Lonchura striata: one gene and its partners. The protein of the gene in region 2 interacts with the protein of the main gene of each other region in a pairwise test. Links are inferred from orthologs where the notes say so. Each region holds a gene or a part of one and is shown on either strand. Other genes may lie near its edges.

Region 1 (3,743 bases), on a different chromosome or scaffold from region 2:
TGGATGTAAAAAGCCAGGAATATGCCAACTTCCAGTGTTTTCCACGTATATTGCCTTCTTTGGGAGGCTAGTCCTGCTAGAGTGGAAGTGTGAAAAATAAAAGTTTAAAAGTCCTTCAAAAGTTTTTAAAAGCCTTTTATGTTCAGCTCCAGAATGTGGGATATACCTACATGAAATATTGTGGATGTTCTTTGTCTCATGCCCTAAGCACAGTACCAGAAGCTGGAGAGCTGCACCAGCACCCTATGGCTGGAGGCACTGGGCTTGTGGTGGAAAGTGCAGTGAGCCATGTCCAACTTCAGCATCCACAGCTGGATTGGGAGCTGCCTAGCTCTGTGCCACAGGGATGGATGGAGGATGATCCAGCTGGGCTGGCTGTGCTTGGAATGATAACTGCCTGGCACCCAGAAGTGCAAGCGACGATGTGTGGTGGGAGTTCAAAGCAGACCCTGGCTGCTGTCTCCGGCGAGGTGGGGTCCCACGCTGAGGACCCACAGCGGAAGCGGATGCGGGGCCGGTGGCACCGCGGGCATCTCCCCCACACCCTCCGCCCCGTACTAGGGCATTGAGACCTCTCAGGGTGTGAAGAGAGCTGCGTGGGTACCCTGCTGGGGAGAGCCAGCCATCCCTGGGCGTCTGCAGGGATGCCCTGGCCAGTCCGGCCTTCGTTTCTGCCAGTCCCCCGCTTCATCTCCGGACCCCCCGCCGCAGCCATGCGCTGCAGCGGTGGAGCCCCCCGGAGCTCGGGTCGCGCCCCGCTCTGTCGCCGCCGCTGGGCCGGGCCCCGGTCTGCTGACGCAGTGTCTAAGCCCGGCGCGCACGCTTCGTGTTTTTTCTTATTTTATTTTGTAACATATCCTCCCCCCCCCCCCCCCCCGCCGTCCCCTTCTTTCCCTCCCTTTCCCGCTCGCGTCCCTCCTCCTCCTCCTCTTTCTTCTCCTCCTTCTTCTCCTCCTCCTTCTCCCCTCACCCCTGTCCCCGTCCGCGGCCCCGGCCCGGCAGGAGCGGCAGGAGGGGCCCGAGCGGAGCGGGCAGCGCCGGGAATGGGGCGCGGCTCAGGGGGCCCGCGGTCCGTGTGCTCCCCACTGTGCCCCCAACTCCGCGGCCCCCTCTGCTGCCTCCTCGGGCTCCAGCTGGTGCTCGGCGCTGCTCACCCAGGTGGGACCGCGCTCTCCCTCCCTCCTTCCACTTTCCCGAGTTTTCTTATCGGGGGGAAAAGGGGGGGCGAGGAGCCAAACCACGTCGAGGAGCCAGACCAGGGCTGTGGGATCCCCCCCGGGCCGGGCTCCTCCGGAGAGGGGGCGGTGGGACCCCCGCGGCGGCGCGCAGGGCGGGGGGGCCGCCTGGCACTAACGCGGATCACATCGCTGTGGCTTATTTCCTCGCGGAGTGTTTTATTTGCTTTTACTACGGTTTGTTTTACTCCATCCTTGTCCGGTCGTGGTGTCTTCCGCCGCGTTTTCTTTTCTCCAGTTTGGTGGTGTCGTGTTTTCTTCCCGTTCCGCCGCGTTTTCACTCACTTTTATCACTCTTGAGTTTAACTCCCCGCGCCGAGTGGCCACGCAGCGCCGGCCGAGGCCAGCGGAAACGCTTCCGCGGCCGCGGGGGGGCCCAGGGCGGCTCCTGGCCGGGACGGCCGCCGGCCCGCTGCGCTCCGCAGCCCCGCTCCGGCCCTTTGTCTCCCCGGGGAGGGCAGTTCGCGGAGCGGGAGGTTGGGAGGGGGGCGAATAGCTTTGTTGGCTCTTGCTGCCCTCTCCCATCCTGACTCACTCCCCTCTCCCGACGTGTCTATCTTAGGAAAAAGGGCCCTCCGGGATAGGGGCCCGAGTGAATATTTGCAAACTTTATTGTGAAGAGTTACTAGAAAAAAAAAAAAAAAGTCAGTGGATTGTATTTTATCTTTTATTTTAACCTTCCGATGGCACCATGAGTCAGACACTGGAAGATCCACTGCATGGCCCCTGAAATTGCCGTTTGAGACCCTTTTCATCCCAGGACAGTCTAGCCTAGAACTAAGGAATTGCTTTTGGGGCTTCCTTGAATTATTTTGGCTCTATTAAGAAAATTTTAAGATTTGAAAAGAAAGCAAAATTGGCTACTTTTGCCTGAAAATAACAACTCAGATCCCCTGACCTATTTTGTCAGAGCACATTTAGCAAATCTGAAGCACATTTGGAAGAGGCAGCATAGGATCACACTGATCCCTTCCCCCATCTCCCCTTGCGCCCCCTGGCCTTTCCCCTCTCCCCTCAGTCTCACAGTGCCTGGGGCTGAGCTGCCTCACCCAAGGGGCAAACATGGTCTCATGGACATGATGACAGTGGGCAGCAATCCCATGCCAAGCAAGGGGTCAGTTCTGAGTTCAGAGGAGAAACTGCTTGGCTGGGATATGAGAAAGTAGGAAGCAATGGGAAAGGAGACCCCTGTACCCTGGGGCATTTGGAAGAGCAGTCAGGATTTGCTGCTGTTTGTTGGACGTCTCAGCTGGACTTCACACAGCTGAATTCCTGTTAGACTTCCCCATAATTTTCTTGAGGGCCATGAATTCCTCCTTCTGTGGGCTTTTAGGGAGTTATTTCATTTCAGCAAGGTTTTGCTACCTTTACAGGCTGATTCTTGCTGTTTCATCCCAAAAAATGTCAGTGGGATCCAAGTCTGACAATTCTGAGAACAGAGGCACCTCTATTCTGGCTGTGGAGCAGGAGCAGTGGCAGCTGACCTCATGCTGGGCCTGGGCAAGGAACAAGGCAGCTTTCAGTGGCCTCCAGCCTGCAGGGCTGTGTCACTCAGGCCTTGCTGGTGCTGAGCACCCTCAGCTCTTTCTCCTCCCCATCCCCACTTTCAGCTGCTCCTGCCCTGCATCAGTCCTGTTTCAGACCTAGTGGATGAAGGGGGCAGAGGATGGCACCAATGGAGGTGCCACATCCAGGATTCCCCAGCACCAGGCTGGATTGCAGCTGAGAGAGGATCCTTACTGGGAGTTTGGGATCAGGATGGAGTAATCCCAAGAGTTCCTTGTTCCCAAAGACACTTTTAGTGGGGGCCAGCCCAGCAGACAGACATTGATTCCCCTGGGGAACTCTTGCTTCTTTAAGAGTTTTGTGCCAAACCCTCACCTCCAGGACAGCCAGAAAGGTGGAGCAGAGCTCTTGGCAGGAGGTTTTGGGCTCTTTGGTGGAATATCTCCTTCAGTTCACACATCTGTGCAGTGTCGTGTGGGCACCCACATACCTTCTCAGGGAAACAGAGGCAGCAGCTCCCATCCTGCCATGGCTGCAGGCAGGACAAGGTCCTTGTCTCACTGCCAGGTCTTGGTGCTGGATTGACTTTCCACCTATCCAATGCTCAGTGTAGGTCCCACCATGTCAGCTGTGGGGCAAGAGAGAACACAAAAGGGACCTGGGAAGAATTTACAGCCTGTAGAGCAAACAGAGCAGCCATTACATTAATGTCCCCCATTTTCCCCTTCCTAATGGAAATAGCTTGTTGCATGGCAAATGGAGCCCCTAGAAATTATATCTTGATCTTCTTCAGACTGTTTGGGAGCAGGAAAAGGGGTGAGAGGTGTTAGCTTTGCTGCTAGAGCCTGGCAGGGCACAAGAGACAGTGGAGACTTCACCACCATCTGCAGCCACAGCAGCCACCAGGATATGGCAGCAGGGTTGAGGATGGTGCTTGTGCAAGAATGACAAGAGTGAAAAGAGATTTAATTTAACCTTCCATGCAAAACTGTTCAACTGCAA
Region 2 (3,743 bases):
TGGGAATGCATCCCGCACCCCGGGGAACGCATCCCGCACCCCTGGGAACGCCTCCCGCACCCCTGGGAATGCATCCCGCACCCCGGGGAACGCCTCCCGCACCCCTGGGAACGCATCCCGCACCCCTGGGAACGCATCCCGCACCCCTGGGAATGCATCCCGCACCCCTGGGAATGCATCCCGCACTGCTGGGAGCGCCTCCCGCACCCCTGGGAACGCATCCCGCACCCCTGGGAACGCATCCCGCACCCCGGGGAACGCATCCCGCACCCCTGGGAACGCATCCCGCACCCCGGGGAACGCATCCCGCACCCCTGGGAACGCAGCCCACACCGCTGGGAGCGCATCCCGCACCTCCCGCACCCCGGGGAGCGCAGCCCCGCCTGGGCCCGGCCGCTGCCCGCCGCCGGCTGCCGGAGGAGGCTCCGAGGCAGAGCGGCGCTCCCGGGGGAAACAGGCGCGAGGAGCGCGGGCTGGGGGATGGAGTCCGGGACCCCGAGGGATGGATGTCCGTGACCCCGAGGGGTGGAGTCCGGGATCCCGAGGGATGGATGTCCGGGACCCCGAGGGGTGGAGTCCGGGATCCCGAGGGATGGAGTCCGGGACCCCGAGGGATGGAGTCCGGGACCCCGAGGGATGGATGTCCGTGACCCCGAGGGATGGAGTCCGGGATCCCCAGGGATGGAGTCCGGGACCCCGAGGGGTGGATGTCCGGGATCCCGAGGGATGGATGTCCGGGACCCCGAGGGATGGATGTCCGGGACCCCGAGGGATGGATGTCCGGGATCCCCAGGGATGGAGTCCGGGATCCCGAGGGGTGGATGTCCGGGACCCCGAGGGGTGGATGTCCGGGATCCCGAGGGATGGATGTCCGGGACCCCGAGGGATGGATGTCCGGGACCCCGAGGGATGGATGTCCGGGACCCCGAGGCAGGGCCCGTGTCCATGCCCGTGCCTGGTGTGCCCCCGCCGGGGTCACCGGGGACAGAGCGGCAGAGAACGGGCAGGGGGCAGTTCCCGAAGGCTGCAAAGGAGGAGGGCGGGACCACCTCACCCCGGGGGCGGCCGGCGGGGTGGGGGCGAGCACGGGGGGATCCCCTCGCCGTGCGAAACGGGGACCGGCACCGGCACCGGGCACCGGAACCGAGACCGAGACCGAGACCGAGACCGGGCAGGGGCAGCGGGCAGCGGGCACCGGCACCGGGCACCGAGACCGAGCATCGGCCACCGGCGCTGGCCACCGGGCACCGGCACCGGGCACCATCCAGGCCCCGCCCGGTGTGACGCCGGTGCCCCCGCCCCCGCCGGCTCTTGCATCACGCGCCGGCCTCGCCCCCCAGTCCCCGGATGAGGCGGCCCCGGCGGGCGCGCGCGGCGGCGGCTGTGGCAGGGGATGCGCTGCGGTGAGCGGCGGGCCCGGGGCCGGGCGGGGGCACCGGGCGGGCCCGGCCAGCGGGGCCCGGCGCGGCGGGCGGGGGGCGCGGGCCGGGCGGGCGGCGGGCCGGGGGCGCCGCCATTGGCTGCCAATTGACAACGGGGCACGGCCCGCCCCCGGCGCGCCATTGGCCGCGGCTGCGCCGCCGCCGCCTCCCATTGGCTGCGCGCGGTGTCAGTCACGGCGCGGCCCCGCTCGGCCGCCGCCCTGGCCCCTCCGCGCCGCCGGGAGCGGGGCCGGCCCGGCCGCACCGGGGCTCGGGGCCGCACCGGGGCTGCACCGGGGCCGCACCGGGGCCGCACCGGGGCTCGGGGCCGCACCGGGGCTGCAGCGTGGCTCGGGGCCGCACCGGGGCTGGGAGCTGCACCGTGGCTCGGGGCTGTCCCGGGGCTCGGGGCCGCTCCGGGGCTCGGGGGTGTCCCGGGCCCTGCCCGCCGCTCTGCCGGCCTCGCCCCCCGCCCGGGCGTTTTCCCGGCACTGGAGCTGGCCGCGTGGTCCGCCTCTGTTGCTGGATGCTCCGCCCGGGGCACAGCGTCTTTTCCGGGAGGAAATTCCTGCCGGAGCTGGTGCTGGGGTCGGGAGCGGGCAGGGAGGTGGCGGTGCAGTCGTCACCCCTGGATGTGACGGGCGGGCCGGGGGAGCTCGGTGCCCTGCTCGGGGACCGGGGCTGTTCGCTCCCAGCTGGGACCGCTGGCCTCCGGGTCCTGCCCTGCCCTGGCCCTCTGCGCTCCCGGGGGGTTTGTCAGGAATTCCGTCGGTAATTCCACCGGCAATTCAGTCGGTAATTCCGCGAGGGTTCCTCTCGGCGGTGCCTGGCCTTGCTGGGAGCCCTGTGCGCTGTGTCCGGGCGTGCCCAGCCCCAGCAGCCCGTGCCCGGTGAGCGTGACCCGAATTGCAGCCGACGTGCGGGAAGGATGCGCTGGGAGAGAGCAGCGACACTGCCCAGCCTGCCCGGTGACCCACCGGCACATCCCTGTCCCTCCCGGGAGGAGCAGGGTTCTCCTCTCCCACCGGCACATCCCTGTCCCTCCCGGGAGGAGCAGGGTTCTCCTCTCCCACCGGCACATCCCTGTCCCTCCCGGGAGGAGCAGGGTTCTCCTCTCCCACCGGCACATCCCTGCAGGGTTCTCTCCTACCCACAGCCCGCTCTGTGCTGGGAGTGACTCAGGGTTTCTCTCTTCTCCCTGCCTTGACTTGCTCACAAGTGCAGGGTCTGGATGCCTCTGGCATTTGTTGCCTGAGAGGTGGTTAAACACAAGAAATTGCTACAGAAGAGTTCCTTGGATACTTCAGAAAATTTTTTTTTCTTCCTTTACATTTTTTTCCAAACCCCACCCCCCACAAAGAAATAATTCCTTGTTGAGGAAGGAATTGTTCCTGCTGAGAGCTGGTGGCCTTTCCAAGGTCAGTGTTTTGTTAGAGATATCAGCAACTGTAAGAGGAAGAAGCTGTCCCAAGGCAGAAAAGAGACTGGGAAGCTTTTAGATATGAAAAGGTGGTGGAGACCCCATCCATCCATCCCTGGAGGTGTTCAAGGAGCTCCTGGGATGTGGCACTCATTGCCCTGGTCTGGTTGACAAGGTGGTGATTAGTCAGAGGTTGACTTGATGATCTCAGAGGTCTTTTCCAACATGAATAATTCTGTGCTTCTATATTTATTTATTTAAATGCCAGTTTGACGTGTTTGCAGCGTGACTGCACAGGCAGGCTGGCTGATGGTGCCAGTTAACTGTGGCAGAGCTGGGTAAGGAGTGTGGATCTGGCATTAATAGTGTTAGCTCTGCCCTAGAAGAGATCCCCTGTCCTGTTTCCTGGCTGGGCTGTGCATTTCTGTATTGTTGTATATGTGGAGGCACAGCCCTGGTGAGAAGGTTTAATAATTTAATTAAACTTGTCACTGGGAGTCCCAGAAGTGAAGGAAGTGTTCAGGGGCAGTGTTTGAGTCAGTGTTTGAGTTGCCTTCCTTCCTCCTCAGGGGAAAACCCTCCCTTTTTTCCCCCTGACTCTTTAGAGTTTGCAGATTCGTAAGATAATTCCTCGTTTGGTGGAGGACGGAGAAGAGAAAGGAAAATAGGAAAGTGGAGAGAAAGCACGGGGCTGATGATGTCTGTGACCTTGGTGTCACAAGGAATCTTGTCTGGAGACGCTGCTGGCAGCAGACTGCCAGGAAGCACAGCAGCAAAGCACAGTGCATGCCCTCAGAGCATTACAGTTGGTTTTTTGAGGTGCCAGGAAAGTCAGACTGCAGAAAGGAAATGGTATTTTTGCAGCCCTTGATGTCTGTGGCACCACAAACAGAATCAAGATA
Region 3 (3,743 bases), on a different chromosome or scaffold from region 2:
AGGAACTTCCTGAGCCTTCTGTCAGTGCCTTCTAATTCCTAGCACAGGCAGAAAATTTGAGGAAATTAAACTTAATTAATTCTGTGAGCACCGGCATGGAGAATGCCTGGTCTCCCATGGGTGACTGCAAGAGTCCTTCAGGATTTTTGTACAGCTGGGTCACCACCTTTCTCCTTTGAGTGCCTCTGCTGTAGTGTGGGCAGCAGGACCAAGGCAGGGATCATCCCAATCCCTGTGCTGGGCATTGCTGAGGCTGCACCTCGAGTGCTGTCTTCAGTTCTGGGCCCCCACTTTACAAAGGACATTGAAGGACTGGAGTATGTCCAGAGAAGAGCAACAAAGCTTGTGAAAGGTTTAGAAAATATATCTTGTGAGGAACAGCGAGGGAGCTGGGGTGGGGGCCATCATCACTGCCTGCAGCTCTGTGAAAGCAGGTTTACTGAGGTGGGGCCGGTCTCTTCTGCAGTGCCTGCAGAGAGGACAGGAGGAAATGGCCTTGAACAGGAACAGAACAGATGCTAGAAGACAGTTTTTTCACTGTTTGGGTGGTTGGGCACTGGAGTAGGTTGTGCAGAGAGGTGGCACAGGGACAGTCTCTGGAGGTGTCTGTCATCGGGATCTGGTGTTGGGTGATGGTTCAGGGCTTACAGTGGCCGCACTGGGTGATCTTACAGGTCCCTTCCACCCCAGACGATGCTATGATCGTACCCTCCCATGCCGCAGGGCCGGGACACTCGCAGGCCCATTCCTGCAATGCCTTCAACAACTCCCATTTGCCCTTGGTTCTGCCAGCCAGCTCGGCGATTGCTGGGGCAGGCTGACAGAGGCTTTGCCCGCCCGGTGGCAGCGTCACACGGCTGTGGTGTGGCGGTGTGGGGCTCGGCGGTGTGGGGCACGGCGGAGGGGGCGATGAGGCGAGGGGGGCGATGAGGGAGCCGGGGCGAAGGGGGCTATGAGGGAGATGAGGCGAGGGGGGGCTATGAGGGAGATGAGGCGAGGGGGGCGATGAGGGAGATGAGGCGAGGGGGACCATGAGGGAGCCGGGGCGAGGGGGGCGATGAGGGAGATGAGGCGAGGGGGGGCTATGAGGGAGATGAGGCGAGGGGGGCGATGAGGGAGATGAGGCGAGGGGGGGCTATGAGGGAGATGAGGCGAGGGGGACCATGAGGGAGCCGGGGCGATGAGGGAGATGAGGCGAGGGGGACCATGAGGGAGCCGGGGCGATGAGGGAGATGAGGCGATGGGGACCATGAGGGAGCCGGGGCGAGGGGGGCGATGAGGGAGATGAGGCGATGCGCCCCGGCGCCGCCGCCGCCATGGGCCGGGCGGGCGGGCGCGCTGACGTCAGGCGGGCCGAGGGGCGCGGGCGGCTGCGTGTTCCCGCCCCCCGCCCCTCCCTGCGCGGGCCGGGCCGGCGGGAGCCGAGGGCGCGGAGCGGCCCTGCCCCGGCAGGCGACAGCGGCCCGCGCCGTCCGCCGGTGAGTGCGGGGCGGCCGCCACCCCTGCCCCCCTCATCGGGGCTCTGTGCCGGCGGGGAGCGGCCGCCGTCCTCCCGGCAGCGCCGCCGCCCTGCGCCGGGGCGGGGGTCGCGGCTCGGCCGGGGATGCTGCGGCAGCGGGGCCGCGGGAGGCCGGGGCGGGGCGGGCTCGGCGCTCCCCTCGGCGCTCCCCTCCGCGCTCCCCTCCGCGCTCCCCTCCGCGCTCCCCTCGGCGCTCCCCTCCGCGCTCCCCTCCGCGCTCCCCTCCGCGCTCCCCTCCGCGCTCCCCTCCGCGCTCCCCTCCGCGCCGGCCGGATGCCGCGGGCGCGCCGCCGCCGCGCTGCGGCTCGGGGCAGCCGGCACGGCGGGCCCGGCGCCGGCGCTGCGGTGGTTTGTGCGCCCTGTAATTCGTGCTCGGGGAGACGCGCTCGCAGGTGCTGGGGGCAGCTGCTGCGAGCCCCGGCCGCCGAGGTGTTGTAGCGTGAGGTTTCGTGTCTCGAGGGTTTTAGTCTACGAAATGGGGAAGAAGCAAAAGCACCCAGTGTGTGTTCGTAGACAACAATTAAAAAAAAAAAACAGTAACGGTGGAAAATAATTATAATGGTGGCATTTCTACTTGAGCAGTGATCTGTTGAGATTTATACCAAGGGGATGTTCTGTAGGTTGTGGTGATTTCTCTTTAATGATACTGAGACTTTGCTTTCGTCACCCAGAGCCTGCTGTTCACTTCGTGCTCTGTCAAATGTACTTTGGCACACAATGAAACGTAGGCAACCTCAGCCTTTAACTTTGAGCTGGAGGAGGTCGAGCTGTTTATCTTCAGTTTAAGAAAGCAAAACTGCATGGGAAGTTTATGCTCTAGCAGAGCCGTAGTGTCCAGGCCAGACATCAAATTAAGGTAAGGATTGTCGATCTGGTACTCCGTCTGGTATGCTGTGTAAAGATGTAGAGCGCTTTTCAGGGAAGCTGGTGCATCTTGCAGGGTTAGAACTTCATATCTATAGCAGGTTTGTTCTTGGTGTCTGTGGGCTTTGAGCCTTGCTTTGGTGCAGAATAGAATTTTTTGCTGCGAAGGTGTTAAAAGTGAAATGAAGTTGAATCTTAAGTTCTCATTTTGTTACATTGAGAGCCACTTCATATATGTACCGAGACTTTAGTAAACTTCTATCTTCTTGGGTTAGCCTGAGGCAGTAAACATTTACATTGTTTGTTGATAATGAATGAAATTGGCAAGGTTTTTTTTCTCGTGTATATAATGATCATGTGCCTCTAAATTCTATGGGCCCATTTTGAATTATATGCCTCCCAGCTGAAGAGGTGATGGCCTAACAAATGGGACACGAGTAACCTAAATGTCAGCCAAGGATCTACGTCAATATCCAACTTAAGAGTCTAAAAGTTGTTTCTGAAGTTGAAGTTTACTTTCTGCTCCTATATAGTATTTTTCATTATAAAAATGTCAATGTTTGGACTCCAGAAACTGCTCAGTATTGTCTTTTAACTGTAAAGCTGTTGAAAAGGGTAGAAATAGTCTCAGTTAATATAATGATCTCATTTAATGTATTGTTATAGTAATGAGTAATCCTGTTTAATGGAACTGTTCATGTAAAAGCTTATTGGAGTAAAATCCGTTACTTTTGGACCTGATCATCCTTTAAGAGGGATTGGTTATTTGGAATAAACCAGTTAATGGGAAATGTTGGCAATGGGATCTTTAGATAAAAGGCTGTCATGCCATCAGTCTTGTCATGAACATTGCTTGCCTGGAATCCTTAGAAAGTGTGGATCTCTCAAAATGGAGAGGAGATGAAGGAATATAAGATTGCAGAATGTAATATGATAAAATATATCAACAGTGGTTGTGGTGTTCTCTTTCAGCCACTATTCACTGTAAACAGCAGCACCATCTTCCTAATTAGAAGCTTTCAGGCAGGGTTAAGTCCCGTGCCAACAGGGATGCTAAGGAGATCAAAATACTAATGGTGCTTTTGGTAATTAGGTTGAAAATCCTGTATTGTGTTTCAGTTAGAGCAATAAAAACAGATTATGTAAATCTCTGGATACCTACACACATGTACGTTACAGTAAAATCCCAACAGCTTTAAATAGTTATCTTAAATTTGAAGTTTGGCTAGTCAGGAAAGGTCTTTGCATTTCTTCACAGCTCTTGGACACACACCCCAGCTCACCTTAAACTGTTAGCAAGTAGGTGCATTTTCAAGATATTCTGAAATGTTGTTTCCTCCTTGATGAAAAGTAGCTGGAT

What was found. The genes of interacting proteins can lie anywhere in the genome.
Region 1: the proteins of NDEL1 (region 2) and MRC2 interact in a two-hybrid assay, tested with the Homo sapiens proteins (2 studies listed by BioGRID and IntAct). The link is inferred for Lonchura striata from reciprocal best matches to the Homo sapiens genes NDEL1 and MRC2.
Region 3: the proteins of NDEL1 (region 2) and CCSER2 interact in binary tests that used the Homo sapiens proteins (3 or more experiments, as listed by UniProt). The link is inferred for Lonchura striata from reciprocal best matches to the Homo sapiens genes NDEL1 and CCSER2.

The regions. Positions count from the first base shown.
Region 1 is NC_134627.1:1,140,382-1,144,124, reverse strand, and holds the start of MRC2 (C-type mannose receptor 2), read left to right. Parts: upstream 1-975; 5' UTR 976-1,043; coding exon 1,044-1,158; intron 1,159-3,743. UniProt on the Homo sapiens protein: May play a role as endocytotic lectin receptor displaying calcium-dependent lectin activity. Internalizes glycosylated ligands from the extracellular space for release in an endosomal compartment via clathrin-mediated endocytosis.
Region 2 is NC_134621.1:1,236,088-1,239,830, reverse strand, and holds the start of NDEL1 (nuclear distribution protein nudE-like 1), read left to right. Parts: upstream 1-1,299; 5' UTR 1,300-1,403; intron 1,404-3,743. UniProt on the Homo sapiens protein: Required for organization of the cellular microtubule array and microtubule anchoring at the centrosome. May regulate microtubule organization at least in part by targeting the microtubule severing protein KATNA1 to the centrosome.
Region 3 is NC_134609.1:4,661,472-4,665,214, forward strand, and holds the start of CCSER2 (serine-rich coiled-coil domain-containing protein 2), read left to right. Parts: upstream 1-1,392; 5' UTR 1,393-1,478; intron 1,479-2,190; exon of another isoform or gene 2,191-2,375; intron 2,376-3,743. UniProt on the Homo sapiens protein: Microtubule-binding protein which might play a role in microtubule bundling.